Schizosaccharomyces pombe: one gene and its partners. The protein of the gene in region 1 purifies or fractionates together with the protein of each later gene. This does not show direct contact. Each region holds a gene or a part of one and is shown in the gene's direction. Other genes may lie near its edges. The genes, in order: cwf10, ntr1, cwf5 and spp42.

What was found.
Region 2: the proteins of cwf10 (region 1) and ntr1 purify together in Schizosaccharomyces pombe (affinity purification with mass spectrometry; 2 studies listed by BioGRID). This does not show direct contact.
Region 3: the proteins of cwf10 (region 1) and cwf5 purify together in Schizosaccharomyces pombe (affinity purification with western blotting; 2 studies listed by BioGRID, with this or other methods). This does not show direct contact.
Region 4: the proteins of cwf10 (region 1) and spp42 purify together in Schizosaccharomyces pombe (affinity purification with western blotting; 2 studies listed by BioGRID, with this or other methods). This does not show direct contact.

The regions. Positions count from the first base shown.
Region 1 is NC_003423.3:4,050,233-4,058,211, forward strand, and holds cwf10 (GTPase Cwf10), read left to right. Parts: upstream 1-2,323; 5' UTR 2,324-2,368; coding exon 2,369-2,394; exon of another isoform or gene 2,395-2,438; coding exon 2,439-2,798; intron 2,799-2,836; coding exon 2,837-3,188; exon of another isoform or gene 3,189-3,247; coding exon 3,248-5,464; 3' UTR 5,465-5,747; downstream 5,748-7,979. Other genes in the region: SPOM_SPBC215.11C (aldo/keto reductase family protein), read right to left, coding at 230-1,150; protein Mtl3, read left to right, coding at 5,936-7,540. UniProt on the Schizosaccharomyces pombe protein: Component of the U5 snRNP complex required for pre-mRNA splicing. Binds GTP.
Region 2 is NC_003424.3:3,187,746-3,195,059, reverse strand, and holds ntr1 (RNA-binding splicing factor), read left to right. Parts: upstream 1-4,216; 5' UTR 4,217-4,268; coding exon 4,269-6,662; 3' UTR 6,663-6,814; downstream 6,815-7,314. Other genes in the region: nucleoporin Alm1, read left to right, coding at 1-3,528; Golgi Dsc E3 ligase complex transmembrane subunit, C-terminal UBA domain Dsc2, read left to right, coding at 6,993-7,011, 7,119-7,249.
Region 3 is NC_003421.2:1,183,358-1,189,191, reverse strand, and holds cwf5 (Prp19 complex subunit, RNA-binding Cwf5), read left to right. Parts: upstream 1-1,569; 5' UTR 1,570-1,623; coding exon 1,624-1,899; intron 1,900-1,950; coding exon 1,951-2,307; intron 2,308-2,367; coding exon 2,368-2,799; downstream 2,800-5,834. Other genes in the region: Ski complex RNA helicase Ski2, read left to right, coding at 1-1,457; coa4 (respiratory chain complex assembly protein), read left to right, coding at 3,025-3,174, 3,221-3,304; THO complex subunit Tho1, read right to left, coding at 4,024-5,196, 5,252-5,834.
Region 4 is NC_003424.3:2,648,719-2,659,253, forward strand, and holds spp42 (U5 snRNP complex subunit Spp42), read left to right. Parts: upstream 1-2,000; 5' UTR 2,001-2,019; coding exon 2,020-9,111; 3' UTR 9,112-9,306; downstream 9,307-10,535. Other genes in the region: rng2 (IQ motif containing GTPase activating protein), read left to right, coding at 1-1,268; SEACAT complex subunit Sea2, read right to left, coding at 9,326-10,535.

The DNA.
Region 1 (7,979 bases):
GTAGCCGCGGGTATAACTATTTTTCTGTGAATGCCGTGTATTTTTACTTTAGCATGTTAAAAACTGCTTTCTCTTAAACAGTGCCTTGTAGACCTTACGAGGAATATGAAAAATCAATACAAAAAGATGCTTTTAATTTAATCATGAGATCATTTTATAACATTATCAACATATGGAAATTCCAAACATCGTGGCATTAGTAAGTTTCCATAGAAAGAAAAAGAGAAATCTAAGAAGACTTTTTCTTCTCCTCTTCTTGACGCTTAGCATCTTCGCTTTTACCCTCCTCATCCAATTTGGCAAACACCTCAGAAGATAATTGGATTCCAGCGGCCTTGACGTTTTCTTCGAGATGATCTACTTTGCTAGTACCAGGAATAGGTAGCATAACCGGACTGCGTTGTAAAACCCAACTCAAAGCTATTTGACTAGTGGAACGATCAAGGTCTTTTGAAACAGCGTCCAGGATGGTTCCGGGTTTGGCTAATGCTCCTGAAGCTAAGGGATACCAAGGAATAAACGCAATTCCCTTCTGTTCACAATATTCTAACACTTTCTCATTCTTACGATTGACAAGGTTGAATAAGTTCTGAACACTAACTACCGGAAAATACTGTTCAGCTTCTTTGATATCGTCTACTGTAACCTCACTCAATCCAACATGGCGAATCAATCCTTCTTTCTTCATAGCTGCAATTTCAGAAAATTGGTCTTTGCGAGGAACCTTGGGATCGATGCGATGTAGTTGCCAGAGGTCAATTTGCTTAACTCCAAGTCGACGCATGCTCATAAGTACTTCTTGACGTAAAAATTTGGGTGCTCCACAAGGATGCCATTCATTTGGACCTGTACGAACAAGGCCACCCTTGGTAGCAATTATAAGTCCTTTGTAAGGGTATAAAGCTTCTCGTAAAAGATTCTCGCTGACCTCAGGGCCGTAAGAATCGGCGGTATCAATAAAGTTAATATTGAGTTCAGGCAAACGTTTTAAAGTTGCGATGCAAGCCTCTTTGTCTTTGGGTTCATCCCATATACCATCACCGGTAACTCTCATTGCTCCGAATCCCATTCTATTGACAACCATGTCGCCAACCTTGACAGTCCCAGCTTGTGAAGCATCTACGGCGGAAGAAGCTGCAGTTTTACTCATTTTTGTGTCTTTTGTCGCTTTTCTTAGAAATCAAGATCAAGTACTATAGTGGATCCGGTAAGTGTGGGATGTCAGACGCCGTTTCCTTTTATAGTAATTTTACATGGTGTATTCCTTACATAAGCTGGATTGATGCGGACTATCTTAAACCACGAAAACTGATTTATTACATACCCTATTTACAGAATCCAGTGGTATGATGTAAGAGCGCGTTAGACAATATATTGTCATAACGATGACTAATACTATTATAGTACGATATTGCTGGTTGGATTTTGAATTAGAGTAAATAGCTAAGTCCTTTTTGATTTGGCTCTTATTCAATTTAATGATAATTTTATGGTTCCAAAATCTGATGCTGGATGAATTGTCTAAACTGTATCTCTGTCTTCTTTTGCCAGCCCATTTTTATTCATGAGCAACGATGGTCGCACATAACGATAATGATCTTTATTGCTATGTTTCTTTCTATTCAAGATAATGTGGATTTATATTTTCCATCTTCTTGAATTATGCTTGATCGTGCTATCAAATCGTACTACGAGTTATCATTTGGAGACCACAAATGGGTTGACCAGTTCCGTAAATCGAGGTAAACATTGCACATAATAACAATTCTAGGACTGTATTTGAAAGGAAACACATTTTTTGAATTTAGTTGATGATGCCAGTATATTATTAGTGTTATTGACATTCAGCAATTTGTTGTGTGTTTTATAAACACACTAAATACTTTGTACAGTTGCAAAACTTGCGCTCTAAAAATGTTTGCACCGCACTTTTACAATGGCTATTTACTCTTACTATTGTCTTCGAAAAGCTTATAAATTTGGCTGCTAAACATGGGTCGGTAGCTCAAATCGTAGACATAACCAGTCTTTTAAGGTCTCAATTACACCCATGTACGACTTTTAAGGAGGAAGTTGGTAAATAAAAAAGTATATTTGGTTTTCAATAATTACGATTCATTCCTTTCTATCAAAATGAGACGATGTCGTTCTTCGGCAACCTTAAAGAGTGTAGTGGAAGTTACTGAGCCGATCATATCTCGTTTAGAGAGTATAAAGACAATGATTTCTCTAGCTCATTATCAAAGCTTAACGAGATATAAATCGCAGTTGAGACATGAATGCGCTAAAGCTCGAAAACTTGGTTACACTTTACTTCAAATTTGGTAATTACCAAAAGTTGTGCATTGTGGGTACTTGGCAGTAACTGATGATGGAAGAGGATTTATATGATGAGTAAGTGGTCTAAAAACATTTTATAGTTATTTCTAACTCGCCAGGTTTGGAAATTACATAGGCCCTGAAAATGAAGAAGATGAAGAGGAGCTGTTTCCTCAGGCTCCTAGCCCTACAATTGCACAGGTACCATCCTTTGAAGAGGTCATTCCTGATGAAGAATTAGAAGACGTTGAAAGGGCCGAGGAAATGGCGTTGAGTCATCTAGAGCCTCAGAATGCCGTTGTTCTTCACGAGGATAAACAATATTATCCTAGCGCTGAAGAGGTATATGGGTCCAACGTGGATATCATGGTTCAGGAACAGGATACTCAACCCTTAAGCCAGCCCATTATTGAGCCAATTCGTCACAAAAGGATTGCTATAGAAACAACAAACGTCCCAGATACTGTATACAAGAAAGAGTAAGTATGTGTAACAATGTCTTTTCTAACTTTTTAAGGTTCCTCTTCGGTCTCTTAACTGGGACAGATGACGTTAGATCTTTTATTGTTGCTGGCCATCTGCATCACGGCAAAAGCGCTTTATTAGATTTACTCGTTTATTATACCCATCCTGACACCAAGCCGCCAAAAAGGCGTTCACTTCGATATACCGACACTCATTATCTTGAAAGAGAACGTGTGATGTCTATAAAAAGTACTCCACTTACGCTCGCAGTTTCTGATATGAAGGGTAAGACGTTTGCATTTCAGTGCATCGATACGCCTGGTCATGTCGATTTTGTTGATGAAGTCGCTGCTCCTATGGCCATAAGTGATGGTGTTGTATTAGTCGTTGATGTTATTGAAGGTGTAAGTTATTCTGGCCTTTTCTTGCGTTTTGAAGATATAAAGATTCTAACATGCTTTAGGTGATGATTAACACCACTAGAATTATCAAACATGCGATTCTTCACGATATGCCAATTGTGCTCGTCTTGAACAAAGTTGATAGGTTAATCCTTGAGCTACGTCTCCCTCCGAATGATGCTTACCATAAACTTCGACACGTTATCGACGAAGTAAACGATAACATTTGCCAGATTAGTAAAGATTTGAAATATCGCGTTTCTCCTGAGTTAGGGAACGTTTGTTTTGCTTCATGTGATCTTGGATATTGTTTTACATTGTCTAGTTTCGCAAAACTCTATATAGATAGACATGGAGGTATCGACGTGGACTTATTTTCTAAAAGATTGTGGGGGGATATTTATTTCGATTCGAAAACCAGAAAATTTGCCAAACAGTCCTTGGATGGCTCTGGCGTTAGAAGCTTTGTCCATTTCATATTAGAACCGTTGTATAAATTACATACCCTTACTATTTCTGACGAAGCCGAAAAACTCAAAAAACACTTATCTTCTTTCCAAATTTATTTAAAACCCAAGGATTATTTATTAGATCCTAAACCACTCTTGCAACTAATTTGCGCATCGTTTTTTGGATTCCCCGTTGGTTTTGTGAATGCAGTTACTAGACATATTCCATCGCCTCGAGAAAATGCCGCTCGTAAAGCCTCTCAATCATATATTGGGCCTATAAACTCTAGTATCGGCAAGGCTATCTTAGAAATGAGTCGTGAGGAATCAGCACCATTAGTCATGCATGTTACTAAACTTTACAACACCGTCGATGCTAATAATTTTTATGCATTTGCTCGTGTATATAGTGGTCAGGTTAAAAAGGGTCAGAAAGTTAAAGTTCTTGGAGAAAATTATTCTTTAGAAGACGAAGAGGATATGGTGGTTGCTCATATTGCTGAAATATGTGTACCTTGCGCACGATATCGTCTTCACGTTGATGGAGCTGTTGCCGGCATGCTAGTTCTTTTAGGAGGTGTTGATAACTCTATTAGCAAAACAGCAACCATCGTTTCGGACAATTTGAAAGATGATCCTTACATTTTCAGGCCAATTGCTCACATGTCCGAGAGTGTTTTCAAGGTGGCTGTAGAGCCACACAATCCATCAGAATTACCAAAACTACTTGATGGCCTACGAAAAACAAACAAAAGCTACCCACTATCTATCACAAAAGTAGAAGAATCTGGGGAACATACTATTTTCGGTACTGGTGAGATGTATATGGATTGTCTACTTTATGATCTTCGGACTTTATACTCTGAAATCGAAATCAGAGTTTCCGATCCAGTTGCTCGTTTCTGTGAGACTGCGGTGGACACATCAAGTATCAAGTGTTTTTCAGATACTCCAAATAAAAAAAATCGTATCACAATGGTAGTTGAGCCATTGGAGAAAGGAATTTCTAATGACATTGAAAATGGAAAAGTTAATATCAATTGGCCTCAAAAAAGAATCAGCGAATTTTTCCAAAAGAACTACGATTGGGACTTACTAGCTTCACGTTCCATCTGGGCTTTTGGTCCCGATGATCGTGGTACGAATATATTGCGGGATGATACTCTTAGTACAGATGTTGATAAAAACGTGCTTAATAGCGTAAAAGAATACATTAAACAAGGTTTTCAATGGGGGACTAGGGAAGGTCCTCTATGTGATGAGACAATCCGAAACGTGAATTTTCGCCTGATGGATGTAGTGCTTGCACCTGAACAAATTTATCGAGGAGGTGGTCAAATTATTCCAACCGCAAGGAGAGTGTGTTATTCTTCTTTTTTAACAGCGTCTCCACGGCTAATGGAACCAGTGTATATGGTTGAAGTACATGCCCCCGCTGACAGTCTTCCTATTATTTATGATTTATTAACGCGTCGTCGTGGTCATGTCCTCCAAGATATCCCTCGGCCAGGTTCCCCATTATATTTGGTGAGAGCACTTATTCCAGTCATTGATTCTTGTGGATTTGAAACAGATTTACGAGTGCATACTCAGGGTCAAGCTATGTGTCAAATGGTATTTGATCATTGGCAGGTAGTACCTGGTGATCCACTGGATAAGTCTATCAAGCCCAAGCCATTAGAACCCGCACGTGGCTCTGATTTGGCGAGAGACTTTCTGATTAAGACAAGACGTAGAAAAGGTCTGGTGGAAGATGTTTCTACAACTCGCTATTTCGATCAAGAAATGATTGATTCTTTGAAAGAAGCAGGTGTCGTACTCTCTTTGTAATGTCGGTTTTAAGTCTTTATAATGGATTTTGCAAAAAAAAATAAATTGGGTAGATTTTAATAATAAAGTATACGATTATTTATGAAAGTTCGAGAAGTCTAACAACTTTTTTTTGCTTTCAAATCTCGCGTTTACAGTGTATGAAATCCGAAAAATCAGCGCATATCTTGAAGCCGTAAATTATTTGTGAAATCCTTGATCAGAAGGAAAAGTCGCATTTTGGTTTTACGATTTTAGTATATAGATAAATAACTTCTATTATTTATTTTTTTATGTTAAGAAACTAACACTCAACTGAAATAACGTAATTTCATAGTACTATAAACACCCGAGGTCATATGTCATGAAGTTACCCTCTCAGTATACCGGAAGACTTTAGGGACATATACAACTTCCGGAAGTGCTCTGCTTTTGGAAGTAAAATACAGCGAGTTTAGTTAGATTAGTTTATTATTATCCTTAAAACTGAAGATGGGTTTGAGACTTTTGTTTTCTCTCATTTGCGTATTTTGCATATCGAACATTTTTACGCAAGCCTTCTTGGTGCATCAAATATATGGTAATTCCAGCTTCACAAAAATATCTTTAAATCAACTTGAGGGCAGAGATTCTCAAGAGGAACTACAAAGGCGTCAGGAAATCCGATATTATGGTCGTGCCGCTGAAACTGGAGGAACTCCTACTTACTACGGGTATGCGACACCCACTAGCTCTAGTGAACCCAGTATCTTTTCTGAATCTGCTACTCCCTCAGAAACTAATTCTTACTCGTCTCCGGTCAGCTCTTATTCTGATCCCGCAACTAGTCAGCTTCCCTCGTCGACTTCTTTCTTTTCACCTACTTCTTCTGAATATACGCCTTCTAGTACGGAATCCAGTTCTCTTCTGGACCCAAGTTCTGTATCATCAGCTATTTTACCAAGCAGTACTAGTGTTGAAGTAAGTATTTCTTCATCAAGTTTGTCATCTTCTGATCCTTTGACTTCTTCAACTTTTTCCTCCTTGAGTTCAAGCACTTCTTCAAGTCAGCCATCTGTGAGCTCCACCTCTTCTTCAACCTTTAGTAGCGCAGCTCCTACTTCCACTAGCTCCTCCTATTTGTCTAGCTCAAGTGTTGTTTCTTCATCGAGCTCTCCTTCATCCTCCTCTAGTTCGACACTTACTTCCTCTTCATTAAGTACTTCTTCTATTCCTTCTACTTCTTCTTCATCATCTTCTACTTCCTCGTCCTTGTCTTCTTCCTCTTCCTCTTCTACTGCTTCATCTTCGTCTTCTTCTTCTTCCATTATTTCTTCGTCCTCCTCCTCTTCTTCTTCTCCCACATCTACCTCTTCTACTATTTCTTCTTCCTCCTCTTCCTCTTCTTCTCCCACTTCAACCTCTTCTACAATTTCATCGTCGTCGTCGTCCTCTTCTTCTTTCTCTTCCACCCTTTCTTCGTCTTCTATGTCTTCGTCGTCGTCGTTCTCTTCTTCTCCTACTTCTTCCTCTTCAACTATTTCATCATCATCATCTTCTCCTTCCTCTTCTTCTTTCTCTTCTACTACTTCTTCCTCAAAGTCATCTTCTTCTTTCTCTTCTACTGTTTCTTCTTCTTCGAGCACTTCGTCTTCTACGTTAACAAGTTCTTCTTCTTCAAGCTCTCGTCCCGCGAGCTCTTCATCTCATTCCTCGTCTTTGTCAAGTCATAAATCATCCTCGTCTTCTAAATCCTCTTCTGCTCCAGTATCTTCAGCTTTTTATCACAACAGCACCTCTAGCAGAAGCTCTAGTCATTCATCTAGCCATTCATTATCGAGCTTGAGCTCAAAACCAATTCTGACTGCTAGCTCATCTTCACTTCTAACTTCTTCAAGCCATACATACGAAAGGTCAACTGTATATGTGGTTACGGTGGAAACTGTTTCTAGTGGATCTAGTACTTATGCATCTCAGTCAACTCAAACTAGCATTTTGTTGGTCATTGTTGGTGATAGTTCATCGACAGACAGTTCCGGGGCTTCTTCAACTCATAGCAAGACATCGATTTTCTTTAGTTTATTTGTTGTTTTAGCTGCTGCGATTGTTATTATTTAATTTGCCGAAACGCTCGGTCTAAAATTAGATTCACTAAAGTTTTGAATCTTTAATGCTTCTTTTAATAACGTGAACTGTTTATTTTATTTTTTTAAGAAGCTACAGAATGGGTTGAAACCACGCGGATCTTGTGGTTTATTAAACGTTTTGATACCTATATTTATTACTATTAAACCTGGCTTATATCTTTGCTTGGCGGTCTGCTACTTAAATTTTTCGTCGAAGGCTTTTTTGATTTTATTTGTAATTTATTTCAGCAATTTTAATGTCGCAAATTATTAGTAAATAGCGACTCTTTTGATAATTAATGTTTTGGACCAAAATTACAAAAATATTTTTTTACTGAGAATTCCACTGGATTAGTAATTAATATAAATTGATTAAAAACACGATCAATAATGATCGATTAATAATTAATATTGGTTGAAATATCATTCAT
Region 2 (7,314 bases), on another chromosome or scaffold:
CGGGAAAAAGTGCGGGCCCTTGAATGCGATGTTGAAATCCAAAAGCAAACTGTCCAATATCAAATTTCCAATGCAGTTAAAGAAAATTCAAATACACTTTCAGAGCAAATCAAAAATTTGGAAAGTGAGTTAAATTCGTCAAAAATAAAAAATGAGTCCTTACTTAATGAACGAAATTTACTGAAAGAAATGTTAGCTACTTCTCGAAGCAGTATTTTGTCTCACAATTCTTCCGCGGGCAATATTGATGACAAAATGAAATCCATTGATGAATCTACAAGAGAACTTGAGAAAAATTACGAAGTTTATCGTAACGAAATGACAGCTATTCAGGAATCCTTGTCTAAGCGAAATCAGGATTTGTTGAGTGAGATGGAAGCAATACGTAAAGAGTTAGAAAATTCCAAATATCAGCAGCAGTTATCTACTGATAGATTAACTAATGCTAATAATGACGTTGAAGCCTTTAAAAAGGAAGCCAAGGAGCTTCGTAGTATTAATCAAAATTTACAGGATATAATTAGTCGACAGGATCAGAGAGCCAGTAAATTTGCCGAAGAATTATTACATGTTAACTCACTTGCTGAAAGATTAAAAGGTGAACTAAATGCTTCGAAGGGTGAAAAAGATTTACGGAAAAGGACGCAAGAGCGTTTAATATCTGAAAACGATAAACTTTTGGCTGAGCGCGAGAGACTAATGAGTCTTGTATCAGATCTTCAAACTTTTCTTAACCAGCAACAGCTATCTGATGCTGCTAGAAAAGTAAAATTTGAATCTGAGAAGGAAAGCTTAAGCCTTTCCTTGCAGAAGTTGAAGGAGTCAAATGAAAAGATGAGTAATGATCTTCATTCTCTACAGAAATCTTTGGAAAAGAGCGGAATTGAGTACTCCAGCAGGATTAAGACATTAATGCTCGAAAAACAATCGTTAAGTGAAGACAACAGGAAATTGTTAGATAATCAACAAATGATGGAAATAAAACTCCAAGAATTAAACGGCGTCATTGAACTTGAAAAACAAAGATTTTCTACTTTGGAAGCCAAGTTTACACAGCAAAAAAATACGTCCTATAGCGAAAGGGAAGCTTTGCTAGAATCATCGCTTAGTGACTTGCAATCTAAACATACTTCCTTAGAATCCCAATACAATTATTCTTTAAGGAATATTGAACAGTTACAGGCCGCAAGCAAACTCGCCGAAGAAATGGTTGAAAGAGTTAAAACTGAGTATGATGAGTATCGATTGCAAACTTCAGAGTCCTTGGAAAAAAATCATTTAAAAATCACTTCTCTTGAACAAAGGATAGTTATTCTACAAGATGAGATAGCTTCTTCTTCTTTACGCTGTGAGAATATTACTAAAGATAGCGAAACAAGAGTTGCCTTGCTTTTAGAGGAAAATAAGCATCTTAACAATGAGCTTTCGTCACACCGAAATGCTGAAAAGCAACATTTAGAGAAGGAGAATGATTATAAACAACAGTTGTTGTTGGTAACTGAAGATTTAAGAAAAACTCGTGAAGATTATGAAAAGGAACTTTTAAGACATGCCGATGCTAGATCGACTCTTCAAAAACTGCGCGAGGATTACACGAAGGCATTAGAACAGGTTGAAGATTTGAATAAAGAAATAGCCTTAAAGGCCGGTATAAACGAATCTCAGCCCTTTCCCATTAGTGAAAAAGAAGATCCTTTGAGACAGGAAGTTTATGTCCTCAAAAAGCAAAACGCAATGCTTTTAACCCAACTTCAATCTTCCAATCTCAACTTTGCAGAAATAACTAGCCCATCCCCGGATTTAGATTCTGTTATGAAATTAGGATTATCAGATTTACAGAATCATGTGAAGCGTATATCCAAAGAAATGGAGATTATTTCATGCCAACGACAATTATTATTCCTTGAAAATAAGAAACTCAAGCGAACCGTTGAATCATCGAATCGAGTTATCGCCGATCTGCAAAGAGGTATAACGGAAAAGGATGTTAGCAGTACTTCTGAATCCGTTGGGGAACGTTCAAATTATCTAAACATGGTTGCTTTATTAAATGAGAGCAACAAATCTCTCCGAGAAAATTTAGAAAGGAACGAGGAAGTTATCACAGAGTTAAGAGAGAAAATAGAAACTCTTAAAACTGATTTGGCGAATTTTAGACTTAATAAAGAACAACTAGAATCACAGCTTCAAACAGAGAAAGCAGCTGTAAAAAAGCTTGAAAACAGCAACGAAGAATACAAGCGTCATAACCAAGAAATATTACTATCTTTGAACAGTAGCACATCTACGTCTAGTGATGCTTCACGCTTAAAGAATGAACTTGTTTCCAAAGAAAACTTAATAGAGGAGTTAAATCAAGAAATTGGTCATTTGAAATCTGAATTGGAAACTGTTAAATCAAAAAGCGAAGATTTGGAAAATGAGAGAGCGCAAAACCAATCCAAGATTGAACAATTAGAGTTGAAGAATACAAAACTAGCAGCTGCTTGGCGAACTAAATATGAGCAGGTAGTTAACAAGAGCTTAGAAAAGCACAATCAAATACGTCAACAACTTTCGCAAAAGACTTCTGAATTAGAAGCCAAGGTTGCGGAATGTCATCAGCTCAATGAACAACTCAACAAACCTTCTGCAACCCCCACTGCTACTACACAGTCTGAACCAAGTACGGTGTCACTGGAAGAATTCAATAGCACTAAGGAAGAACTATCTTCTACACAGCGAAAGCTAAGTGAAATTATGGATATCTTAAATACTACGAAGGAGGAGCTTGAGAAGGTCAGACAAAATAGTAATAAATCTGAGGGAACCAGTAAGGATACTGAAATACCCAACGAAGAAGAAATGGAAAGGAAGAAAGTCATGCAACAGGAAGTTTTGAGGTTACGTTCGAGAATTGCAAAAGAGCTACAGAAAAACGAATTACTCAGGAAACAAAATCAGGTTTTACAAGATCAAGTGAAAGCTTTGCAAGAGACAGTTGTGTCATCCGAGGAAGCAGAGTCCGCTTCGGTACATGCTGATACTAAAGATTTGGAAAACTTAAAAAAGACAGAAGAGATGTTATCAGTTACATTTCAAGTAATCTTCAACGAGTCCATATCTGACTTTTCGACTTCCACTGCCGACTTTACTACTTTTGTGCAAAAGGAATGGGAAAAGCGCAGAGAAATTTTACAGAAGGATGTTGAGGAACAAGTTGCTCAGTCGCATCAAAAACAACTAGATAACATCCGAAAAGAACTCGAGATGCGTAACAAGTTGAAGTTGAGCATGCTGGAAAAGAACTTAGCTAGAGTGCGAGCAGAGTTGGAGCAATCGAAGAAAAAAGATAGCCCTGCAATTTTAAGTTTGGAAGCTTCTAAAAACACTGATTCCAATAAAAGCAATTCTGAAGTCCCAGCAGCTCAAGTTAAAGAGAAAAAGTTAATCGCCAAAACTCACTCTGTTGACACTAATTCTCCTCCTAAACGGTCCAGTTCAGACGCTGGTATGGATGTTTCCAATGATGTTAAGAAAGCCAAATAGTAAAATATGAATTTTTTGGTATAATGCCCTTTTTAATGTTTCTTAAGAGTTTGTAAACAGATAATAAAATAGGTTAGCTGCATAATTATTATTTCTGGTTTCCAATAAAAAAAACGACTTTAATTTTATTATAATAAAAAGCTTTGTATTGTAATTTAATATTTTGATATTTTTTGAAGAGCTATAGATATTTTGCGCAACTAATGTCCTTATTCAGATATGTAAGCTACGCAGTTTGGTATCTGATTTAAGGATACGTAGAACTGCGGTGAGTTTTCCTTGTGGTCTATTATATTACAATACACAGGTTGTATAAGTAGCAACTGAGTATAGGTATTGTATTAACTGGGTTATAATGTTACCTATCACTAATATAGCTCATAACTGAACTGAGGAACGAGGTTCAGTTGTAACGGTATTTATAATATTTCTAAATAGTTGTTATCAACGGGTAACTATGTATATAGACGGATAGTTACCCGTGATTATCAATAAACGGATCTTAGCTAGTATTCCAACATATGACATATAGTGATACGCAACGTAGTGTATCATAGCGTAGTGTAGTATTGCTGACAAGATAAAATAAATAATGACGTTTTCGCGTGTTCTTAAGCTTAAGAACGTAACGCGCAAAAACTCATTATATGACATCCATATTTAACCCACTGGAGAACTGACCCAAAATAGAAAATTTCGGTTTTCATTGGTTTTTATTTATATTGAATTCTTGGGTTGATATGCAAAATGAGTATGTCGATATGAATTCATCTTCCGAGGATTCAGATGGTGATTCAATTTTGGAAGAAGGACGTCTTCGTCCATCTTTTCGTGGGCAGCAAAAAGAAAGGGACATGCTAGGAATATTTGGTGAAGAAGATGAAGATGGTTTTCATAACTCGGGGATTGGAAGTGCTAGACTTCGTAGAAAAAACATTTCTTTTGTTGAGAAATCTGAACAAGTTAAAGCAAATAAGCAAGTGACAGCAGATGATTTATTGGAGGCGCATTCAATTCCACAGTTAAAGAATAAAAATGATGAGGTTTCTCAGGCGAAAAATATTCCAAAGATGAAGTTTAATACTACTGGATTTGGCGCAAAAATGTTGGAAAAAATGGGGTATAAACAAGGACAAGGTTTGGGTGCCAATGCTGAGGGTATAGCTGAACCTGTACAATCTAAGCTACGCCCCGAACGTGTCGGATTGGGAGCCGTTCGAGAACGGACCGAAAAGCAAAGGAAAGAGGCAATTGCTCGTGGTGAGATCTCTGATAGTGAAGATGAGAAACATACCGTCAAACAAAAACCTTTAAGAGAAAAAAAGAAGAAACCTTTAAAATCCTCTGAAGAAATTTCAAAGGATATGGGAAGTTATAACTTGCCTAGGTTCTTAGCCAGTCTCATTGATGCTTCCTTAAATGATACTAAGGAAATCGAATTTGTGACTTCAAATAAAGAAGAATTGGGTTTAGAAGGTCGTGATATGTCCACTTCTGGAATTAACCAGCTCTCCAGGCTTGCTCGGGTTGAATGTGAACACCATGCTTCTGCATGGCAACAATTACAAGCCCGTCGCGCCTATGTTAAAATGGAATTAAAGAGGGTCACAACGGAATTCGACGAGAAATCGGTTGAAATATCTCGTTTGGAAAAGCTTTTGGGTAAAGTTATGGAGGTAAAATCCAGGTCAATGGAGTTTACAGTACCTGAGGCCGAAATTGATGTTATCGAAAAAAGACTTCAGCCGTTAAATAACTTAATTGAAACGTTACCGGTTGAATTTTCAGAGGCAAGTATGCATTTTGAGCTTGACTCGGTCGCAGTGTCAATCCTTGCTTTTGTACTTTCAGAACCGATAAAAAACTGGGATGTCTGGAAACATCCATATTTTATGTTAGAAAGTTTTCTTTCGTGGAAAAATTCTTTATATTCCAAAGACTTTAGGCCCAAGAGAGAAGAGAGTAGTACATTTATGGATATTGATGTGGAATTCGATGATGAATTAGAAGGTCAAAGCTTAACACACTATGAGTCATTTATGATGTTTGTTTGGAAAAAAAAAATTGGTGAGGAACTGAAGAAATGGATTATTCAGGATTCTCTTAAGGCTTTGCAACTTTTAGAAGCATGGGACCCTGTGGTTCCAGAGAAAGTTAAAGATTCTTTGATACAAGATGATATACTCCCTAGGCTCAAAGATGCTGTAAGCAAATGGAACCCTAAATTAAAATTGAAGAAAAATGATTCACTGCATCATTGTATTTTCCCGTGGTTACCCTATTTGGAAAAGCACGCAGATTCACTACTGCAAAGTGTTTTGGTTCAGTTTTCTCTAATTTTGTCCCCATGGAAAATAAAGAATGGAAGTATCGATGACTTTAGTGTCTGGAGATCAGCGTTTGCTAATGATGCTTTAGACCGTTTACTTGAGAAAGTTATATTGCCTAAGTTGGAAAAGTTAATGGATGAAGAGTTAGTGATTGACCCATCTAACCAAGACCTTGAAATATTTTTTATCATTTTGTCTTGGAAAGGATCGTTTAAAGCTATGGTTTTTGGGCAACTCTTTGCAGATCATTTCTTTCCAAAATGGTTAGAAACCCTTTATCAATGGCTAACGGAAGCTCCTAATTTTGATGAAGCAAGTGAATGGTATACGTGGTGGAAATCCGTTTTTCCGAAGGATTTGCTATCCAATGCATATATTCAACAGGGATTTTCAAAAGGGTTGGATATGATGAATGAATGCTTAGAAAACAAATCCATAACGGCTCCTCTTCCATTTGCAAAAGACTCAACTAAAGGGGTCAACCTTCAATTTTCGAAAGAAAAACATGAGTTCACTGCTGAAAGTGACGATACCACTTCTTACGATGAACCATTAGTGAGTTTCCGCGAACTTGTTGAAGAGTTCTGTGCTGAAAATTCGTTGTTATTTGTACCTTTGCGTCGGTCACATTTGTCGACCGGTAGTGCCTTGTTCCGCATTTCAACACAAGCCAGTAAAGCTCGTGGAATAACTGTGTATCTTCGAAACGATATTATTTGGAAAAAATCTCCTGGAGCTTCCGAAGATACGCCCTATGATCCAATTGGGTTCAACGAAATCCTCCTCATGTTTAACAATAACTAGAAATGTAATTGTGAAGGGGAATATTGATTTGCATCAATATCATTATGAATATTCTTAGACTTGATTAACAGCGCTGCATTAATGAAAAGAATTACGAGTTTTAAAATGTATAAGTAAAATGGTTGTCTACACAAAGTAAGTACTTATATACAATTTTACCAACTTTAAAAGGATTTCATAAAAAAAATTTGCCTAATTGAGTGATCTATCTTGATTTTGAATAAATGTATTATATACTTCCATTATATAGCGTATTTTAACACTGCAACGCTGCACTCAATATTAATTCGAGGATTGACATACTAGGGATATGCGTTTTCCATAGCAATCATGTCTAGCGCCAATATTGGTATGTTAATGACTAGTTAAACGATATTTTTTATTCTTTTTGTTTTTCTTTTAGAGCTTCATTTGATAATGGCTTGTAATGAGACTTCTAACTTACAAAACGTATAGTACCGTCAAACATGGGAATTACTAAATTCCTTCTTTTGACAATTTCTACATCATCTGTAGTTGCTGGAGTGTTTGCTTTAAAACCTTTTTTTCACATCAACTTTGGACTTCATTTGTTGTCACATTACCAAGTAAGTAATATCTGTACTAAACAAACCTTCGGTTTTCCAAGAGTTTGATATAATTGTTTTATTAG
Region 3 (5,834 bases), on another chromosome or scaffold:
GCTTAACATATAATATGATACTTAACCTCCTACGTGTAGAGACGCTTAGAATTGAAGACATGATTAAACGCAGCTTTAGTGAAAACGTTAACCAAACATTGGTGCCTCAGCACGAGGAAAAAATAAAAAGCTTTGAAGAAAAGTTGTCGGCTTTAAAGAAGGAAATGTCTGATGTTGATTTGAAAGAAATTAAAAGTTGTTTATTGAGCAGTGAATCTTTTAAAGAGTATACCAAAAAAATGCACTTCCGAGCAATAACTACTGCAAATGGCAAAAGAATATTTAAAGATGGAAGAGTCATTGTTTTTCAACAACTTGATTTTACTCGCACTGTTGGAGTTCTACTCGGAACATCCATTAGAACCAATGCTTCAGACTGTACACTGGAAGTTGCATATTTAAATCCACAGAACAACCTCAAACGACCATCGGATTTACTTGCTTTTGCTGACGCGTTCAATGATGTTTATGATAACGCTATCTTTGATGAATCAAACCAATTCAAGTATGGCCTTATCAATCTTTCCGGTATTGAAAGAGTCTGCAATACGATCCTTCGAATTGATTCTGGTGGAATTAGAGACCGTCGAGGGGGGGCTTTTCGAAAACTTAGTGAACAATTTGCATCAATTAAAAAGTTTTCCGACCTGCTTTTTGAAGAAGTTAATTGGAGTAAAGTCAGAGACTTTGAATTTTGTGAAGCTTTCGAAAAACGAAATTTTCTTCAGAACAAGTTATCCGGAAATCCAATTATCTCGACTCCAAACTTTCTTACTCATTTCGCCTTAGCTTACCAAGAGTATGAATTGGAAAGCAATATCGATAACTTATCTTCCTATATTTCCGATCAAAACCTAGAGTTACTGCCTGATTACGAACAACGGATAAAAGTATTGCAAGAACTAGGATATATTGACGCAGAGCGAACTGTTTTACTAAAGGGAAGAGTCGCATGTGAAATTAATTCCACCAGTGAATTGGTATTAACAGAGTTGATTTTGGAAAACAGTTTGGCGGACTTTTCTTGTGAAGAGACAATAGCATTGTTGTCTGCATTTGTTTTCGATGAGAAAACGGAGGTTGAACCCACAATTTCTCCTCATTTACAAAAAGGAAAGGAAATGATACTATCAGTGGCCGAGAAAGTTAATCAAATTCAAGAGCACTATCAGGTATTGTATTTTAATGAAGGTAATGATTTTGAATCACAACCACGATTTGGTTTAATGGAGGTTTGCTACGAGTGGGCTAGAGGGATGTCTTTCAACCGTATCACAGACTTAACAGACGTTTTAGAAGGATCGATTGTAAGAACAATTATAAGACTTGATGAAGTTCTACGTGAATGCAGAGGAGCAGCCCGTGTCGTCGGCGATTCTTCCATGTATACGAAGATGGAAGAGTGTCAAAATCTAATTCGCAGAAACATAGTCTTCTGCCCTTCACTGTATATGTGAATTTAATAGTTATATATATTTGTAGATTTAAATGATATTCATATGAAATTTTATGTGTTTTTCACGAATTTTATTTGTCTTAAAAGTCTTCGTATTCCACCTTGCAAAGTTTAACACCACCACATATTTACAAAGATTAGCATTGCAAGAGAATTGCGTTTCTAATATGTCTCATGGACCAAAAGGTGATATAAATAAACAAGAATGGGAGGATGTTGAATTTCCAAGCATCTGTGAACGTTGTTTGGGCGACAATTCATATGTTCGTATGACTAAGGAGCCACTTGGACAAGAATGTAAAATTTGCTCAAAACCTTGTACAATCTTTCGGTGGATAAAAGAACGCGGCCAAAAGCCTGGAAAAACTCAAATTTGTGTTGGTTGCGCCAGATATAAGAACTGCTGTCAGAGTTGCATGCTTGATTTGCAATTTGGTTTACCGGTAAGTTCAATATTTCATTCAACTATAATAGTCAGCTAACGTTCCATGAAGATTGCCCTGAGGGATGCAGCCCTAAAACTGGTCGAAAGCGGTCCCACTAACGATATTAATCGCGAATTCTTTGCTCAAAATCAACAACGCCTGTTAAGTAATGGCGAAACGGCCTACGATAGCCAGGAAGCAAGCGCCGCTGCAAGAAATCTTGTTAAAAAGGTAGAAAAACGAGAATTACATTCAAGACCTCCTAAGCGAAAATTAGATGATGTTGAGTCTAAGCAAATATTAAAGGAGGCTCGAGCATCTGATGCATCTTTAAATGCAGAACGCCCATTATTTCCGGTTAAAAAAATTATTAATGGGAATGTTTCCTTGTCTATTAATATGGAACCTCCTAAAGATAAAAAAATCGTAAGTGCGACTTAAAAGTAATTTAAGCTTGATGGCGCATTGTATTGTGCTAACATTTAGGCATCCCTTTTCCTTATTGGCGTCGAAGATGAACTAGCTGACTATAAAATTCGTAAACATTTTGAACAATATGGGCCTCTTAAATCAGTTGTGTGTTCTCATCGAGCAAAATGCGCATTCGTAAACTTTAAAACTCGTTCTAGTGCTGAGATTGCGGCGGCGGCATCTCCCGATGGAAATGTTGTTATAGAGGGGTTTCGACTGAAAGTTCAATGGGGAAAACCTCGTTCTCTTGGAGGACCTGAGGGTGAAGTACGAAACGCAAAGTTGGCAGACCTTGTGATGCGAGGTTCATCCCATGGAAATAAAACCTCCCAAAAATCTACGATTAAAAACATTGAAAATGAAGATCATGAAAATACTAAAAGCCCTGCAGTTGCTATACCCATTGACCCCAATCAACCCCGTTACCGATCTCAAATTCCGCGGTGAAGTCAGTTGGTCATTTAAAACCTTTGTAGTAGCTATTAACTTATTTTCTCTAATACTGACAAGCTTTATTCTGTATTTTCTTGTTTATTTGTCTTTGCACCTTTTCTGTCGTCTCTCGGTCATTCTCCTTAAATAATCAAATATCTGCTGCTTTACCTTACTCAGCAAAACACTTTGGGTTTTGCATATTTTTTACATTATAAAGCATCAATTTATTTTTTCTGAATGGATAGTATTGAAAAAACTCCTGACGGAGAAGAAGAGGAAAAAGATGTATGGGACACTGCTCTTGAAAAAGGTGGATGTGTAGAAGAGCACCTTCGACTGAATGATTGCTATTGGGATACTCATGATTGGAGGAAATGTACAGAACAGGTAATTATATGTCTTTAAAAAATTTAGCTAATTCTGATATTTTTAGATGGAAGAATTCAGGAAATGTTGGGAAAAGAGACATGGTCCTTTGCCAAGTATCTCAGACAAAAAAAATAAAAATTTATCTTAATGAGTTTCTATATCATGTGATTTTGTGAAAAAAATAATTATTCTGTTTACGGCAGTTTTAGTACGCTGTTATTAGGATGAATTCTTTTTATTGAAAAAGATATAATGCATGCGGAACTAATTAATTGGATTCTTCAAATACGAAGACAGTGTTTCAAATCATTAACTCATTTGATATAATTTTTTTGAATATTTTCTGCAATTGCAGAGTTTTCAGCTATTTATTTTACGAAGTCTCAGTTGTCATAGTGCATCAATTTTTCTGTGTTATGTGGTATGGTAAAGCAAGTTATGACTTAGTATTGAATTGATAGGATGGAGTTTAAATACGCAAAAACATATTTTACAATTCAACGTTGTTGTCAAATTGTATAAGTCTGTTTCAAATCTGATCCATCGATATTGGAAAAGTTCTGTACTTATAACCCGCTTTTATTGTTGCATTTGTTGAAAAATAAAAAATTTGACTTTAGAATGTTTTCATATTGAACATGTGAACGTATTCAACTGTCAAAAAATGTGTGCAGTTTAGTAAATAAGCGTAATTTACCCATCAATAAACAATGAAATTCATCTTTACAGTAGCTCTACTAAAAGGATGTAATTTTATTTTATATAAGCGCATACAAAAACACGCTAGATCAAAACATTAACTATATATACATTTTCTGACTCAATCATAACTAAGCACTTATCACATATGTGTAATTGATTTAATGATTATAATACAATTTCTCCATCCTCTCCAGTTTTTGGCCTTTTAGGGCTTGAATGAAGGTCAGAAGGTTCATCTTCCTCATCCCGTCCTCGCTTTTTAGTAATCTCTGACTGCTTTTGACTATTTTCAGAAGATTTTGGACTAGATGTTACTTCCAATATAGTTTCAGCAACATTATTCTCTTGCTTTTCAGATATTTTAGAATTTATGGTGGAAGTAATTTCTTCTGTGACCTCAAAGTGATCATCATTTTGTTTTAGTTTTTCAATATTTTCGGGAGATTTCACATGTGAAGATGGGTCCTTTGAAGCTTCAGATGTATTATCATCTTCTGATTTGAGAACCTTATTAACCTGAACCAAAGATTCACCGTTTACTTCACTGTCCACACCCTCAGTTGGGGGTTTAGGTGATACCTTTGGCAAGTCATTTTTATGTTTTCCTTCTTCAACCTCAACGCTTTCTTTTTCCTCTTCATTTTGGACAATATCACCTTCAGCATCTGTTTGCATAGGACTTGCAAAGTTTTGAGAATTGTGCTTGACATTCTCCCTCTTTTTCATTTCCTCTAATAACTCTTCTCCTTCTATAATATGAATATCAAAAGCTGGAGGAATAGAGGGTGTAATTTTCGATGTAGTCGGTTTGCCCTCAATGGAATTACAAAGCAATTCAACATCACCTAGTCCGGTATCCGAAAAGTTTTGAAGATGGCTATTAATTGCTGAACGAAAGGCACGCCATGTCTTCGTTGCCAAGGACTGTTCATGGAAATGCTTGTCATCATCTCTAACTGCCTCTTCTATTTCAAACTTGTCTGCTTTAACGCCAGATAAAAAGCTCTCAGGTGATGGAATCCGGTACCTTTCCTCCTTTTTGAGATCATCAAGGGTATTTTCTCCAGCCTGCTCCCAGAGCCTCGACAAAGCAGCATTTCCCATAGCAAATCTTAATTTCACTGGGGTGTTTGTAAGCTTTTTTAAGCCTTCGACAGCTTCATCAATAGCCGCTTTATCTACTAGGGGTTTTTCAAGGGAAGGGCAGCCAAGCCCTTTCCATAATTTCCAATTACCCTCAATATGTATAATTTCTTTAATGGTTCTTTGCACAGAACCACACCGGGCAGTATGTAAGAAACTATATGCTTCTTTGGATAATTCATTTAACTTTGAGGTCTACATATTAGCAATCAATAAAATCAGTTTTTTTCGAGTCTAAAAAAGAACATACATCTTCGTCAGACAAAATAACAATGGGAATTACCGCCTTATTTGTCCATTTTTCAAGAGTTCTCCTTTCAATTCGTTCTTTAGAATGGTCAAGCAAAAAGTCGAAAATAATAATTAATTGTAAAATAGCCTGTAACCGGAAATCTTCATCTGAAAGTTGGTATTCAAAAAGCGACCGAGAATATATATATTTAGAAGGAAATCCTTTATCCAAAGTTATATATTTTTCAGAAAGTAATGAGCTAGAGTTTGGATCAATTGTAGGGTTTGACTTCCCATTGAAGAACGTATTTTGTAATATAGATTCGAATGCCTGTATTGCAGAACCAGCTGCATCTATAAACTTAGGTAAGGTATCACTTGCTAGTAATTTAGGAGGGTTGGAGCACATACACTGCAAATCCCAATAAGCAGTAAATAAGGTATTAAGTTTTTTGTGATATGAGAGGTCTGTTCGGTCCGAAATGGGTGTGGATGGTGGTGACAGTTCTACCTTCCCAAAAGAATGAACAGTATTATAATCTCCACGTAAATTGGCTCCACTCCGTTCTTCAGGGGGGAAAGCCTTACTTAGCAGAATATCG
Region 4 (10,535 bases), on another chromosome or scaffold:
TGTCAAGCATTTTGTCTGAGATCTTTTCAATCGAGTCCTGTGACTCTAAGCAACTTGGTTTTTTTAGACCACTCTCCGAGTTTATTGAGGTGTCCAAGCAGGATACCATGTTGATGCTAGAAAGGCTTGTCGATGTGGTTGATCCAGAGGTGTACTTTGAGTTCGATGCTTTTGAAGACCTTGTTAATACCAAGCGGCCAGTAATATACATGAAGCGAGACGATATTTTAGGCATTTATTCATCTATTGCATATGTCATAGATAGTATTGCTCCTCCTGATGTGAACGATCCATTACGCGCTGTTGTCAATAGCTTAGGTCCTGTTTCAGAGCAAGACAATGACTTTGTGCAAGATGAAACTGACGTCAAACTAGAATTGAATCCCAAATTTTGCACTATAGAAAATCCCGTTGCTCAGGAACGGACTCTTATTGTTCAGACAAAGAGATATATATTATTTATTATTCGAATTCAAAATGGCCTTAATCTTTTGGAAATACTTGTCAAACCGGTTACAGATTCAGACGAAGCAGCATGGCAAAATTTATTGGCAGAAGAATCTGAAAAGAATGCAAGGAATTATGATTTGTTTGATGATTCTATCTTTTCAATGTCATTTGCAGAACTGAAATACACTGCACTAAGCAATATAGTGGAAATGGAAAAGCTTGGATTTGCAAACCGACGGAATAATTACCAAGATATGGTAAATTCTATCGCTCTAGATATCCGTAATAAGTCGAGAAGAAGGATGCAACGACAGCGTGAACTTGATGCGGGACATCAAAGTTTGCTTAACTTACGAGAAAAAAGAGCTTTCCTTGATTCGCAGCTAAAAAGTTATAACGAATACATTGAACAAGCTATGGAAACATTACAATCAAAGAAGGGTAAGAAGAAGCTTATTCCTTTTTCTAAACAGTATTTTCACATGCGAGATCTCCGAAAATCTGGACGCGTTCCTCGCTTTGGGTCGTTCAAGTACCCAGCTCTTAAACTCTATGACCGAGGAGTTTTGGTATCAATATCTCATATGCCGCAGAAAGAAAAATTGTATATTACTATATCAGCCGATGAAGTTGGCAAATTTATTCTGGAAGCAACAAGCCCGACAGTTAAAGTTTCGAGCCCAAGGTGTGAATTGCATTTGGACGACTTGTTGTCTGCTCAATATAACAAGGTTTTAACTTTGGATGTTTTGGATGGCCGTCTCAAATTAAACACCAATATGTTCTTACATTTGATTTTCTCCAAATTTTATTCATGAGACGTTTCACTTTGTTCATTTTTCCGTCTCTTTAACTACCCAATGATTTAATTCGAATTAACTTAAAACCGTCAAATATCTTTGCACATTAATACTTGTCCATATTCTTTTGGCGAAATATGTATACTATGTGATATTTTCTCCCCTTTAATTCTGATAATTTGCACAGTTTTCCCATTTCATTCACTTAGTGTGGGGGGTTTTTTTATCACTACTTGTGTTTACTTATACTGTACAAATCTTATTTAACTCGGTGTTATTTTTCAAATTTTTTTTTTCAACTAAAGCCGTTGAACCTGAAACACTAAATCAAGGAATAGGAATTTTTGGTTTATGCATACTAGTTGTACTTGGTAATTTATACTTTCTGAATTAGTTAAAGGTTTATAATTACAAATAACACTTTTTTATAACAAAATGTAATTTATGTCAATACATACATCTTTACTAATTCTTATAAGGCGATTCGATTGAGCATGATTATGTTCAAATTAACCTTTGGATATGGGTAGGTGTTTGGTTGACAAACTTCTTAAGCGTGTTGCATTTTAACGAAGAAAATTTGAATTTTCAAATCCCGTATAGCGTGTAAAAAAATATACATTAAACACGTATTATGAGCAGAAGACTACATAGACCTAATATGAAATAAAACGCACAAAAGAATATTACGCACAAATAATGGCGAGGGTCACCACCATACAAAGTAATATTCACTACCACAATTCAGCTGACAAATACCATTACCTAAATGGCGTCGTTACCACCGGGGAATCCTCCTCCACCGCCTCCTCCGCCTGGATTTGAGCCTCCTTCACAGCCTCCACCTCCTCCACCTCCAGGTTATGTGAAGAAAAGAAAAAACAAGACTCCAGCACAGTCTGGAAATCTTGAAAAGCAACTTAACGAAAGAGCACGCAAATGGCGCGCTTCTCAAAAATCAAAGTTTGGTGTCAAAAGGAAGCAGGGTTATGTTCAAACAGAGAAAGCTGATCTTCCGCCTGAGCACCTGCGCAAAATTATGAAAGACAGGGGAGATATGTCTTCTAGGAAGTTTCGTGCTGATAAACGTTCCTATTTGGGCGCTTTGAAGTACTTGCCACATGCTGTGCTAAAATTGCTTGAGAACATGCCAATGCCTTGGGAAGAATACAGGGAGGTCAAGGTTTTATATCATGTAACCGGTGCTATAACTTTTGTAAACGAGAGTCCTCGCGTAATTGAACCGCATTTTATTGCTCAATGGGGAACGATGTGGATGATGATGAGACGCGAGAAGCGTGATCGAAAAAATTTTAAGCGTTTGCGGTTTCCTCCTTTTGACGATGAAGAGCCACCATTTTCTATTGATCAATTGCTTGATTTAGAGCCGTTAGAGGCTATTAGAATGGACTTAGATGAAGAAGATGACGCTCCTGTTATGGATTGGTTTTACGAAAATAAGGCTTTGGAAGATACTCCCCATGTAAATGGTCCAACCTATCGTCGTTGGAAGCTTAATTTACCTCAGATGGCTAATTTACATCGTTTAGGTTACCAACTTTTGAGTGATTTACGCGATGATAATTACTTTTACTTGTTTAATGACAATAGTTTCTTTACGGCTAAAGCTTTGAACGTGGCTATCCCAGGAGGTCCGAAATTTGAACCTTTATACAAAGACGAAGCCCCAGAAATGGAAGATTGGAATGAATTTAATGACATTTATAAACTTATTATCCGACATCCCATTAAAACTGAATACCGGATAGCGTTTCCTTACCTTTATAATTCTAGAGCTCGAAGCGTTGCACTAAGTGAATACCACCAACCGTCTAATGTTTTCGTTCCTCCTGAGGATCCTGATCTTCCGGCTTTTTTTTGGGATCCCATAATAAACCCCATCACTTCCCGCCAACTCACTTTGCATGAACTAGATACCTCTCCCGAAGATTCTGCCATAGAAGAAGATCCTAATTTTGAAATCCCTTTCGATCCTTTCTTTCATTCCGAAGATATAGAATTTGAGCACACAGCCAGTGCTCTGATTTTATTGTGGGCACCCCATCCTTTTAATAAGCGATCTGGTGCGACTAAGCGTGCGCAAGATGTTCCACTGATAAAGCATTGGTATTTAGAGCATTGTCCTCCTAATCAGCCTGTTAAAGTTCGTGTGTCATATCAAAAACTTTTAAAATCCCATGTTATGAATAAGTTGCACATGGCGCATCCCAAATCGCACACCAATCGCAGCTTACTTAGACAGTTAAAAAATACTAAATTTTTTCAAAGTACTTCTATCGATTGGGTTGAAGCTGGTCTCCAAGTTTGTCGCCAAGGGTACAACATGCTGCAATTACTTATTCACAGAAAAGGGTTGACATATTTACATTTGGATTACAACTGTAATTTAAAACCTACAAAGACATTAACTACGAAGGAAAGAAAGAAATCTAGGTTTGGTAATGCATTTCACTTGATGCGCGAAATACTTCGCCTTACTAAATTAATTGTCGATTCTCATGTACAGTATCGTTTGGGAAACATTGACGCATATCAGCTAGCTGATGGATTACATTACATATTTAATCATGTTGGTCAACTTACGGGAATGTATCGTTATAAATATCGATTGATGCGGCAGATTCGTGCTTGCAAAGATTTCAAGCATCTTATTTATTATCGCTTCAACACTGGTCCTGTTGGCAAAGGTCCAGGTTGTGGGTTTTGGGCTCCCAGTTGGCGTGTATGGCTTTTCTTTCTACGCGGAATTGTTCCTTTGCTAGAGCGCTGGCTGGGCAATTTGCTTGCTAGACAATTTGAAGGCCGTCATTCTACAGGAGTGGCAAAACAAATAACCAAGCAGCGTGTCGATTCTCATCAAGATCTAGAATTGAGGGCTGCAGTGATGAATGATATTTTGGATATGATACCTGAAGGAATTCGCCAAGGCAAAAGCAAAACCATTTTGCAGCATCTTAGTGAAGCTTGGCGTTGTTGGAAGGCTAACATACCTTGGAAGGTTCCGGGTCTCCCTGCACCTATTGAGAATATGATTTTGAGATATGTGAAGTCAAAAGCAGATTGGTGGACCTCAGTCGCTCACTTCAATCGTGAACGTATTCGTCGAGGAGCTACTGTTGATAAAACCGTGGCGAAAAAGAATCTTGGCAGATTAACTAGGCTTTGGTTAAAAGCTGAACAAGAAAGGCAACATAATTATCTAAAAGATGGACCTTATGTAACTGCCGATGAGGCAGTTGCTATATATACTACTTTTGTACATTGGTTAGAAAGTAGGCGATTCCAACCTATTCCCTTTCCTCCACTTTCGTACAAACATGATACGAAACTTCTTGTTTTAGCACTTGAACGCTTAAAAGAAGCGTATTCGGTGAAGGGTCGCTTGAATCAATCCCAACGAGAGGAATTAGCATTAGTGGAACAAGCCTACGATAATCCACATGAGATGCTGTCCCAAATTAAAAGGCGTTTATTGACAATGCGTACTTTTAAAGAGGTAGGGATTGAGTTTATGGATATGTATTCTCACTTGATTCCTGTTTATTCTGTAGATCCGATGGAGAAAATTTGTGATGCTTATCTCGATCAATACCTTTGGTTTGAGGCCGATCGTCGACACCTATTTCCTTCCTGGGTAAAGCCTTCTGATTCAGAACCTCCACCTCTTCTTGTTTACAAATGGTGCCAAGGAATTAATAATCTTACAGATGTTTGGGAAACTTCCAACGGCGAATGTAACGTTTTAATGGAAACTAGGCTGTCTAAAGTATTTGAGAAAGTTGACTTAACACTTCTTAATAGACTGATGTCATTACTAATGGACACCAATTTAGCTTCCTACGCTAGTGCTAAAAACAACGTTGTTTTGTCATATAAGGATATGTCGCATACCAACTCGTATGGCCTAGTCCGTGGTTTACAATTTTCAAGTTTCATCTGGCAGTTTTATGGATTAGTGTTGGATTTACTAATACTTGGCCTTCAACGCGCTACAGAAATAGCTGGTCCTGCAGATGCACCGAATGATTTTCTACACTTCAAAGATCAGGCAACTGAGACCAGTCACCCTATTCGACTGTATACACGCTATATTGATAAAGTTTATATAATGTTTCGATTTACTGATGAAGAATCCCGTGATTTGATTCAACGATTTTTGAATGAAAATCCTGATCCCACAAACAGCAATGTTGTAAATTATTCTAAAGGTAAAAAAAATTGTTGGCCTCGAGATGCTCGTATGAGACTCATGAAACACGACGTGAATCTCGGACGTGCTGTCTTTTGGGAGATTCGTAATCGTTTACCTAGATCACTAACTACCCTTGAGTGGGAGGATACCTTTCCTAGTGTTTACAGCAAAGACAATCCTAATTTATTGTTCTCGATGACAGGATTCGAGGTTAGAATCCTTCCAAAGATCCGACAAAATGAAGAATTTTCTTTGAAGGATGGTGTATGGAATCTCACAGATAATCGTACGAAACAACGGACAGCGCAAGCTTTCATACGTGTTACGGAGGATGGTATAAATCAATTTGGAAACCGTATACGTCAGATTCTTATGTCCTCTGGTTCCACTACCTTTACCAAGATTGCTAATAAATGGAATACTGCTCTAATAGCTCTCATGACTTATTATAGGGAAGCCGCGATTTCTACGCCCGAGCTTCTAGATTTACTTGTTAAATGTGAATCGAAAATACAAACTCGAGTAAAAATTTCATTAAATTCTAAAATGCCTAGTCGCTTTCCTCCAGCCGTTTTCTACTCGCCTAAAGAACTTGGTGGATTAGGAATGCTTTCAATGGGTCATGTACTTATTCCACAATCTGATCTTAGATGGTCGAAACAAACTGATACTGGTATTACTCATTTTCGAAGTGGAATGACTACCAATGGAGAACATTTGATTCCAAACCTTTATCGTTATATTCAGCCATGGGAATCAGAGTTTATTGACTCTCAGCGTGTATGGGCTGAGTATGCAATGAAGAGACAAGAAGCTCTACAACAAAATCGTCGTTTAACTTTAGAGGATCTGGAAGATTCATGGGATCGAGGAATTCCTCGTATAAATACTCTATTTCAAAAAGATAGACACACATTGGCATATGATAAAGGATGGCGTGTTAGGACTGAGTTTAAGCAGTACCAGCTCCTTAAAAACAATCCATTCTGGTGGACGAGTCAAAGACATGATGGAAAATTATGGCAATTAAATAATTACCGAGTAGATGTCATTCAGGCTTTAGGTGGTGTCGAAGGTATTTTGGAGCATACGATGTTTAAAGCTACTGGATTTCCTTCATGGGAAGGTCTTTTTTGGGAAAAAGCATCTGGTTTTGAAGAATCCATGAAGTTCAAAAAGCTTACTAATGCTCAGCGTTCAGGTTTAAATCAAATCCCTAACCGTAGATTTACGCTTTGGTGGAGTCCCACTATCAATCGTGCTAACGTTTATGTCGGATTTCAAGTACAACTGGATTTGACTGGAATCATGATGCATGGCAAAATTCCAACCCTGAAGATTTCACTCATTCAAATTTTTCGTTCTCATTTATGGCAAAAAATTCATGAATCTGTTGTTTGGGATTTGTGTCAAGTGCTTGACCAAGAATTAGAGTCATTGCAAATTGAAACAGTCCAAAAAGAAACTATCCATCCTCGTAAAAGTTATAAAATGAATAGTTCTTGTGCAGATATCCTCCTTTTGGCTGCCTATAAATGGAACGTATCAAGGCCATCCTTATTGAACGATAATCGCGATGTGCTTGACAACACTACCACCAACAAATATTGGATTGATGTACAACTTCGATTTGGAGATTATGATTCTCATGATATTGAACGTTATACTAGAGCTAAATTTTTGGATTATAGCACTGATGCTCAAAGCATGTATCCTTCACCGACCGGTGTCTTAATCGGCATTGATCTTTGTTACAATATGCATAGTGCATATGGTAACTGGATTCCTGGTATGAAACCATTAATTCAACAGAGCATGAACAAGATCATGAAAGCCAATCCAGCCTTATATGTGTTGCGTGAACGCATACGAAAAGGTCTTCAATTATATGCTTCTGAACCCCAAGAGCAGTATTTGTCCTCCTCAAATTATGCTGAACTCTTTAGTAATCAAATTCAATTATTCGTTGATGATACTAATGTTTATCGGGTTACCATTCATAAAACATTTGAAGGTAATTTGACTACGAAACCCATTAATGGTGCTATTTTTATATTCAATCCGAGAACTGGTCAATTGTTCTTAAAAGTTATTCATACGTCAGTTTGGGCGGGACAAAAACGATTGGGACAATTGGCGAAATGGAAGACTGCTGAAGAAGTTGCTGCTTTGATTCGTTCTCTGCCTGTTGAAGAACAACCTCGACAGATTATAGTAACTCGAAAGGGCATGTTGGATCCATTAGAAGTTCATCTTTTGGACTTTCCTAATATAACCATTAAGGGTAGTGAATTACAGCTTCCTTTCCAAGCGATTATTAAACTTGATAAAATCAATGATTTGATTTTACGTGCCACCGAACCGCAAATGGTACTTTTCAATTTATATGATGACTGGCTTCAATCGGTATCATCGTATACAGCTTTTTCACGCTTGATACTTATCTTGCGCGCATTGAATGTCAATACTGAGAAAACGAAGCTAATTCTTAGACCAGACAAGTCTATAATTACAAAAGAGAATCACGTGTGGCCCAACCTGGATGATCAACAATGGCTTGATGTTGAACCGAAACTTAGAGATTTGATCCTTGCTGATTATGCTAAGAAAAACAATATTAACGTTGCTAGTCTTACGAACTCGGAAGTGCGAGATATTATTCTCGGTATGACAATAACGGCTCCTTCTCTTCAACGTCAACAGATAGCTGAAATAGAAAAGCAAGGCCGTGAGAATGCCCAAGTTACGGCTGTCACCACAAAAACTACTAACGTGCATGGTGATGAAATGGTGGTTACTACAACATCTGCGTATGAAAATGAAAAGTTTTCTAGTAAAACAGAATGGAGAAATCGTGCCATATCATCTATCAGTTTACCCCTTCGTACAAAAAACATTTATGTTAACTCTGATAATATCAGCGAAACTTTTCCTTATACATACATTCTTCCTCAAAATCTGCTTCGTAAGTTTGTTACGATATCCGATTTAAGGACACAGGTTGCCGGATATATGTATGGTAAAAGTCCGTCAGACAACCCTCAAATTAAGGAAATTCGTTGTATTGCACTTGTACCACAGCTTGGCAGTATAAGAAATGTGCAGCTTCCTTCTAAACTGCCTCATGATCTTCAGCCTTCTATATTAGAAGACCTTGAGCCCCTTGGTTGGATACACACTCAAAGTTCTGAACTTCCCTATTTATCATCTGTCGATGTAACTACACATGCAAAAATTTTATCTTCTCATCCTGAATGGGATACCAAAGCTGTAACTTTGACAGTGAGCTACATTCCTGGTTCGATATCCTTAGCTGCATATACTGTGTCAAAGGAAGGAATTGAGTGGGGATCAAAAAACATGGATATCAACAGTGATGAAGCTATCGGGTATGAACCTTCTATGGCTGAAAAATGTCAGCTGCTATTGTCCGATAGAATTCAAGGATTTTTCTTGGTACCAGAAGAGGGCGTATGGAATTATAATTTCAATGGTGCAAGCTTCAGTCCTAAAATGACGTACAGTTTAAAACTTGATGTCCCTCTGCCATTCTTTGCTTTAGAGCATAGACCTACTCATGTAATAAGCTATACTGAACTGGAGACGAATGACAGATTAGAGGAAGATATGCCAGATGCATTTGCATGAATGAGGAGCTATTTATTTTCGTAACTGGATTTTGGGCAATTAATGTATATTTTGATTTTTGCTAATTTGAGTGCTTTATGACATCTTGCTTTAGTTAAATGGAATTTAGTGAAAAAGCTAGAAAAATGGGTTTTTAAAATATCCCACATTATCATTATTAGTTTATAGTAATACAAATTTTTCATCAAGTACATATGCGTTAGATTATAGTTTTTTAAATCAGAGCACGTTTATCTAGCAGTTTGACACCGCAGCCGGGAACTGGACATACTGGCAATGCATCGTCTGTATTATCAAAATACCAAGAACGTAGACAGCTTTCATGACCGATGTGGCCACAAACGGGAGGATAAACGAGCACGCCTCTTAACGGTAGCTCACAATAAACACATTTTTTGAGACTAGTAACGGTCTTTGCATTTTCTTTACCTTTTTCGGATTGCTCGTTACCGGTTGCTTTTTTGTTTTCCATTTCAAAAATCAAATCTCTACTACTTGAATGAATGTACTTGAGATTTTTTGAACCAGACATGTTTATAAGGAGAGTAGCTTCACTGAACATTCCGAATCTCCTTAACAAATCAACATAACTTTCAAGTAAATCGTCTAATTGAATCCGTGGTAAATCTATAGTTAGGTATGAAAAAACTGAACAAACGCAGGCTGCCGTTTGGACATCTCCTCGAGATATACAGTCGCTTATAATCGATGTAACAACATAAGGAAGTTCAATAGGAGGTAGATCATCGATAGGAATTTCAGAATCAGTATCTCCATGTAATGATAACTGGTCTAAAAATATAGATGCTCGACGTGAAGAATTACCAGCACTCAATACGGCTTCTCTCGATTTGATTGAAGCAGATGTAACAGAACTTCTGTGGAATGAATTGAACATTTCGTTATGTGACGTACCAGAATAATTTGATGCTGCAGAATCTAGTAAATAGGATGAATTGATGCTTGCCCGGCTATCAGTTGAAAAATTATTAACCGGTGCTTGTCCTTTCTTTAATACGATCGGATTTTCTAAATCATGCCATTGCGATTGCTTATTAAGGACGGCTTTATCGAGATTGTCCTCGGATTCGATAGATGAATTAGAGGATTCTGAAGGAGTAGATGCTTCCCGTGGTTCAAAAAAATCATTTAATGATAAATTATCATGAGCGGGGGTTGAGGACGTTGAAATTTGCGTTAAATTTTTTAAATTTCGACCTTTCTCATCATCAGCCATAGAATTGTTAGCAGAAACAAAAGGAATATTTATTAATTCACTAATTCCTTTATCAGAATTGTTAAGTACCCCTAGTGAAAAATACAAAGCATCCCAAATTTGATAAGCAAATTCAGCTCCAACATTTCGTGCAAAAAATGCGTTCTCTTTACAAGCAGAAGAGATATCTCCTGATATGCGATAATTT